Callithrix jacchus: one gene and its partner. The protein of the gene in region 1 purifies or fractionates together with the protein of each later gene. This does not show direct contact. Links are inferred from orthologs where the notes say so. Each region holds a gene or a part of one and is shown in the gene's direction. Other genes may lie near its edges.

Evidence for each region.
Region 2: the proteins of DBF4B (region 1) and CDC7 purify together in Homo sapiens (affinity purification with mass spectrometry; 3 studies listed by BioGRID and IntAct, counting the BioPlex papers as one, with this or other methods). This does not show direct contact. The link is inferred for Callithrix jacchus from reciprocal best matches to the Homo sapiens genes DBF4B and CDC7.

The regions. Positions count from the first base shown.
Region 1 is NC_133506.1:85,152,312-85,155,811, forward strand, and holds the end of DBF4B (protein DBF4 homolog B), read left to right. Parts: intron 1-168; coding exon 169-293; intron 294-1,114; coding exon 1,115-1,883; 3' UTR 1,884-3,281; downstream 3,282-3,500. UniProt on the Homo sapiens protein: Regulatory subunit for CDC7 which activates its kinase activity thereby playing a central role in DNA replication and cell proliferation. Required for progression of S and M phases.
Region 2 is NC_133508.1:128,976,205-128,979,704, forward strand, and holds part of CDC7 (cell division cycle 7-related protein kinase), read left to right. Parts: intron 1-2,262; coding exon 2,263-2,412; intron 2,413-3,500. UniProt on the Homo sapiens protein: Kinase involved in initiation of DNA replication. Phosphorylates critical substrates that regulate the G1/S phase transition and initiation of DNA replication, such as MCM proteins and CLASPIN.

The DNA.
Region 1 (3,500 bases):
GAGTGCCCTGAGGGAACCTGCCCACTGGGGATGAGTCCTTCCTGCTCAATCTCCATGCTGCTGTGGCTGTGTCCTCCAGGGCCAGAGCATGGGCTGGGAGGTCAGCTTGTGTGTCCCCTTCCCTGCAGGCCTCATCTAATGCCCTGTCCTCCTCTCACCCCCTGGCAGCATCTTCAGAGTGCCCAGCACCGGGGCTTTGCCCTAGAAGCCCGTCCATATGCAGAGGTGGACAGGATCATCGCCCAGCTCAGCCACAGTTTTGCAGACATTCCTTTCCAGGCCAGTCTCCCCAGGTGAGTGCCGCACTGGCAGGCACAACTGCATCTGCACTCTCCTCTGTTGCCCTCTAGGTGGGAAGAGACCTCAGGTTGGTGGCTGCTAGGACCAGACTGTGATGTTTTTCTCTTTTCTCACCTTCTTTTCCCCTCATCCTTGGTCCTATTTGTTTTGGGGGTGGCCAAAAATAAAAAGACCTCCATTTGTGGCTTCAGTTGATCAAGATTAGACCTAGACCAGACTGTGGCTCCCTTCCTACAGGCTTTGATGTGGATAATAAGCCGTTCTGGCCAGGGAGCAGGGGGAGTAGTTCCTGGGCCCCTCCCAGATGGGTAAAGAGCAAAGTCTTTCTCCCTCTCTAGAAGTCACGCCCAGAAGGAACCACTGCATGGGGATTGGTGGGAATTCCAGGTCCCTCTGAGCCCAGCTACCCATTTCTGCCAGGAAGGCAGATCCTCTCCTACTTGGGGCAGTGGCTTCACCTCTCATCCCAAATCTCCACCTCAAGCTCAGCTCTCACAGCCAGACACTGCGCTGCTTTCTCTAGTTGCCAAAGGGCACAGCCTCCTCTGTGAAATAATTAAATGGAAGAGCCTCCAACCTGTTCCTCTGGTCGGCCCCAACCACAGGCCACAGAGCCAAGAGAAGTACACACGGTGCTGGCTGCTGCAGCAGGTTCAGACCCAAACAGGAGGGCTTTCACACAAGGCCCCAGAGTAGGCAGCTCTCTCAGCACACAAACTGCCAGCTGTGGCAGCTCTCCCTGTGCCCTCAGCCCTGGGCCACACCTGCTGTGGAGTTGACACCTGCGGCTCACTGGGTGTTTCTGTCCCAACAGGTTGTCAGGTTCCCTGGCTTCTGACTGTGACCCTCTCTTTCCTGAGACTCTGCACCCCTGCCAGCTCTCCCATCCCAGAGCAGCATCTCCCAGGATGAGGAAAGAAGACAGCTGCCAGGCATCAGGCTTCCCAGAGCAGGATGGGACAGTGGACAGCATGCAGGCACCAGCTGAATGTGCAGGGACTGGCAAGATACCCGGACCTATAGCAAGCTGCCAGGACCTGGAGGGGTCAGTTGATGTGTTTGTGGACCACCCAGGGACACTGGTGTCCAGGAGCCCTGCTTGCCAATGCCTCCTGCCTAGCTGTGGTTTTATGGAACTCTCCTCTGGCCCAGACCTGGCACTTGTTGGCCACAAGCGGAAGGTTCAGTTCCCCAGTGGCAGTGCTGAGAAGAGAGCGGGGGCCTCCTGGCCACAGGCTTCATTTTTTGTCCCAAGAGCCCCCAGCCCCTGTGGTACCAGGACAACCAGTGGCAAGCATCTTCCCTCTCTTCCTCTTTCAGGCCATGAGTCTAGGCCCCTTGCCTCCCTCCTGCCCTCATGCCACTCACAGACCTGCCTCTCTCTCCCAGACCCCTTCCCCTGGCAGCTCACAGACAGACCAGCAGAGTTCTGGGCCACACATCCCCCCTGGCCAGGCGGAGAGTGGCCCCCAGGGCCTGAGGATTCTGAATGTGCAGCCCCTGGCCCTGAATCCCAGGAGGCTGGCCAGCTGCCCCATAGCTCCAGGCTGGCCATCAGCCCCGCTGCACTCAGCTACCAGTGAGCAGCCCTCAGAAGCACCTGCAGAGAAGAAGTCTACCTCTATCCCCAAGCCCCAGCTAGCCAGTGCAGGAGCCAGTTGCTCCCGATGCTTCTGGGCCCCCCAGCCTCTCCAGGTGCCCTCCCTCCCTGTCTCCCAACCCCGGCCCCAGCCCCAGCCCCCTACTGTCAGAGAGCTGCTCCTATGAGTCCCCAAGGTGCTTGGCTCTTCACGGGGCGAGGCAGCTCCAGACTGAAGGGCCAAAGACACAACTTATTCTTCTGCTGGGTGCCACACATCCCGCCAGGGCTGATCAGGACACAGGAGGGGCAGAGCCCCAGGACTTCCCCAAAAGAGCCAGAAGGAGGCCTGGGCCTGGCCTTTGAAGTCCAGTAAGCAGCTGTCACATTCAGCTCCATGGAGCTTACGGAGCCAGCCCTCCCACTGGCCAGGTCTTTGGGAGAGAATCTGGGCTGGAGGCAGCCCTCTCCTACTCCCACCTCCACCATGTTCCTAACCAGGCAGAGTCTACAGTGGGCTTACCCAGCCGAGGCCGGCCACCCATGCCAGGAGGCAGAGATGAAGTTGGCATGGGGAGGGACCACAAAGGAGTTGGGGCAGCAGGAGTCCTGGCCCAGCTTCCTGGCCCTCCGCAGGCTGTTGCCTCTGCAGAGCCGAGGGTTAGCTGTTGGTATTCTCCACCCCCAACCCCAGCCTCCTTTTCCACGAGCATGTTGCCTCTCTTGCTTTCCGAAATGCCTGTGTTCATCCCCTCCCCCAGCCCCCCACACTCCTGCACACAGATCCTCAGGAACATATGAAGCAGAGGAGGGGCTCGGGCTGTGCCACTCACAGAGCTCCCTCCCCCAGGCACTTAGTTGGGGCCCAGCACTGACATTTCCCCTGAGCCCAGGATGTGGAACCCCTCTCAGCCCTTCTCTGTCTCCTCAGCTTGAGCTGCCCACCTGGAGTTCGGCTATTCCGGGGCCAGTGTGTCACCTGCCAACTTCCACTCACCCTCCTCCCTCACTCCCTCCTCTCTTTCCCCAAGGACCTCCCCCCATTTCTGGCAGCCAAGCCATTAATCTGGAGACAGAAATGGGTTTGTTATCGATTCTCTGGCCACTTTTTTTTTTTTTTCATTACAATTTGTACTGTGGTTCTTCTCACCCTTCTCTGCATCCATGCATTGTCTCTTTAAATGTTGAAGCTCCCGGAAGCCTGGCGCTATTCTGTGTCTCCTTTCAGAGGAAGAAAGGGGGGCCCAGCTACTGGTGAGGACCCAAGTTCTTAGTTTGGAAATAGAGCAACTAACTGTGTGTACAGCCCACCTTAGAGGTCATGTTACCCCCTTCCTGTTAAGTTTTATAATGAATTTTGGTTCAGGAAATGTAAATAAATTTGTTAATAACAAATAGCAAAGAGATGAGGCTGGAGTGTCATGTGTTGGTCCTTGATCTGCCCTCCAGTGACCCAAGGCAGGGCTGCGGGCCTGCAGGGAATCGTTGGATGGTGGGATGGGGCTTTCTGCAAGCTGTACATGTGTGAGTGCCTCCTGCGTCTCCCCCAAGGGCTCCGGGAGCAGTGCGGCCTCTGTCCCTGCGCAGCCTCCTTTACCCAGTCTCATCCTGTCACCTACTT
Region 2 (3,500 bases), on another chromosome or scaffold:
TCATGCTGTAATCCCAGCACTTTTGGAGGCTGAGATGGGCGGATCACCTGAGGTCAGAAGTTTAAGACCAGCCTGGCCAATGTGGTGAAACCCCTTCTCTACTAAAAATACAAAAATTAGCCAGGTGTTAGTGGTGCACACCTGTAATCCCAGCTACTTGGGAGGCTGAGGCAGAAGAATCGCTTGAACCCAGGAGGCAGAGGTTGTGGTGAGCTGAGATCCCACCATTGCACTCCAGCCTGGGCAACAAAAGCAAAACTTCATCTCATCTCAAAGAGAGAGAGAGAAAGGAAAATAAAGGAAGGCAGGCAAGTGATACAGTAGCCAAAGGAATAGAGAGCATATAACCTGGTGATACTAGGAGGTCAACAATTAGAAAAGACGTACTTAAAAGAAAAAACAAGGAACTCTTTAACAAGAAGTTGAGCTAGTCATAATCTTTAACTGCCAGAAGTCAGAAGATTAAACTTCCTATAGTGGGAATGTAAATTAGCACAACCACTATGGAAAACAGTTTGGATGTTCCTCAGAAAACTAAAAAATAGAGCTACTACATGATCCATCAATTCCATTGCTGGGTATATACCCAAAAGAAAGGATATCAATGTACCAAAGAGGTATCTGCACTCCCATGTTTGTTGTAGCCCTATTCATAATAGCCAGAATTTGGAAGCTACCTAAGTGTCCACCAACAGATAAATGGATAAAGAAAATGTACTTATAAACAATGGAGTACTATTCAGCCATGAAAAAGATCTTGTCATTTGTAACAACATGGATGGAGCTAGAGATCATTATGTTAAGTGGAATAAGCCAGGCACCAAAAGACAAGCATTGCATGTTCTCACTTATTTGTGGGATCTAAAAATCAAAACAGTTCAACCCATAGAGAGGGGACAGACGGTTACCAGAGGCTGAGAAGGGTAGTGGCAGGGTGTGGGGGATGTGGGGATGGCTAACGGGTACAAAAACTAGTTATAAAGAATGAATAACCTAGCACTTTGGGAGACCAAGGCAGGTGGATTGCTTGAGCTCAGGAGCTCGAGACCAGCCTGGGCAACATGGTAGACCCCTATTTCTACCAAAAATACAAAAAAGTAGCTTGTACACTTGTGGTCCCAGCTACTCAGGAGGCTGAAGTGGGAGGATCACTTGAGCCTGGGAGACGGAGGTTGCAGTGAGCTGAGATCACACCACCACACTTTAACCTGGGCAACAGAGCCAGACCTCATCTCAAAAAAAAGGTTGAATAAGACATAGTATCTGATAGCACAACAGGGGGACTATAGTCAATCATAATTTAATTGTACATTTTAAAATAACTAAAAGCACTTTGAGAAGCCGAGGCAGGCAGATCACTTGAGCCCAGGAGCTTGAGACCAGCCTGGCCAACATGGCAAAACCCTGTCTCTACTAAAACTACAAAAAGAAAAACAAAATTAGCTGGTCATGATGACGCGTACCTATAATCCCAGCTACTCAAGAGGCTGAAGCACGAGAATTGCTTGAACCTGGGAGGCAGAGGTTGCAGTGAGCTGAGACGGCTCCACTGCACTCTAGCCTGGGCAACAGAGCGAGACCCTGTCTCAAAAAAGAGAAGATAATTGAATTGTTTGTAACACAAAGGATAAATGCTTGAGGGAATGGATACTCTATTTTCAGGATGTGATTATTACACATTGCATGCCTGTATCAAAACATCTCATATGCCTTATCAATAAATACATCTACTCTGTACTCACAAAAATTAGTCTTCACAACTGTACAAAAATATAACTTTTTAAAAGTTTCTAGAGCAGTAGTTAGTGCTAGTGTCCGCTGAAGAAGACCTTCTAATGTTCATTACTTTTCACTAAAATGAAAGCCCTTTGACCGGTATGGTATGTCATACTCGAGGATCATCTGGATTTTTTCCCACATAGCTATTTTTGGATTCCATTTGATCTTATAAAATGTACATTTACTTAGTGTTTCCTAATGACTAAATATCCTTTTAAATGTACCAAATGTTGCTCTAGAAGGAAACATTATATTTTGCAGAGAGGATTCTTAATCCTGGTTATATATTAAAATCACCTGAGGAACTTTTTTAAAACATTGAACTGCTTCAGAACTGTGCAATCAAAATCTCTGGGTCTGAGCATCTGAATTTTTTAAGGCTCCCAAGATGATTCTAATGCATAGTAAATGTTGAGAACTATTGATTTAGATAATAAAATTATATATTTGAAATTTATTTTTAAAATTTATCTTCTGTTACAGCAATCGACATGTGGTCTGCAGGTGTCATATTTCTTTCTTTGCTTAGTGGACGATATCCATTTTATAAAGCAAGTGATGATTTAACTGCTTTGGCCCAAATTATGACAATTCGGGGATCCAGAGAAACTATCCAAGCTGCTAAAACTTTTGGTAAGCAGTTTTGTGTTACAGAACAAAACAAATGCCTTTGATTATCTCCTACAAATTGCTTAATAAATTATTATGAAACTCTCTTTACAAATAAACATTCAGTCTTGATAAAGTTCTAATATTAAGTAGAAAATTCTTCAATTGCTTAAAAATAAATTTATCATCACCTCTCCTCTATACATATAATCATTTAATCTTTTTAAACACAAAGTAATACATTATTGCAATATTTAAAGTTTGCCTTTGTAATATTAAAAGAATAAAGAGTAAAATCTTAACTCCTTTTAGTTATGGTTTCACTTTCGTTACATAAATATCTTTAATAATATGTTTTACTTTTTTATTGTATTTTAAGCATCAGATGCACTACGTCTTGGTACCTAGAGTGTCCTTGCCTTAAATGATCATAGGCTATACTAACAAGTAAACAGTTAATTGTTAATATAGTGTAATAAGGACTGGGGAAGAGAATAGAAATGTGTGTTGTCAGGTTGTGTGAATTTAGGGTAGCAGAGAAGCAAAATGCATAGAAGGTGTCAATTGATGGAATATTATTGTAAGCATATATTGGACATGGATGTCAACTCAGCCATGCAAGTTCTTCAAGACTGGGAGATGCAGTGTACTTCATAGGGCATGTGAGAATTATCTCAGCCTTGCTCTGGCCAACAACCTGAACTCAAATGTCCATTTAATGTTTATTTTCCAAGCTCAATTATAGTTAATACTTTCCCAAGGAAAAAGTATGATTGAGTCAGCTTACTGCCACACAATATGGAACACCTCAGGGGACAAAGTTTCAGCCAGCCTACCTCCAGAGTAGCGAGGCTGCCTTGTGCTCAGCCCCAGGATCATTGTGTCTTAACTGGGGTTTGCATGTTAGAATTATCTGCGAATCTTTAAGAAATACATATGCCTGCCCCTCTATCCATTCTTGGAAAATATGATTCAGAAAAGTAAGATACTTACGAAGGCTCCAGTCTTGTTAGTTTGAAAAAAAAAACAAGTGATTTTGACTAAGAAACTACTGGTGTTTTAAGAACCACTGCAAAAATTACTACCCTTGCCTAGGCATCAGTGCTATGGTC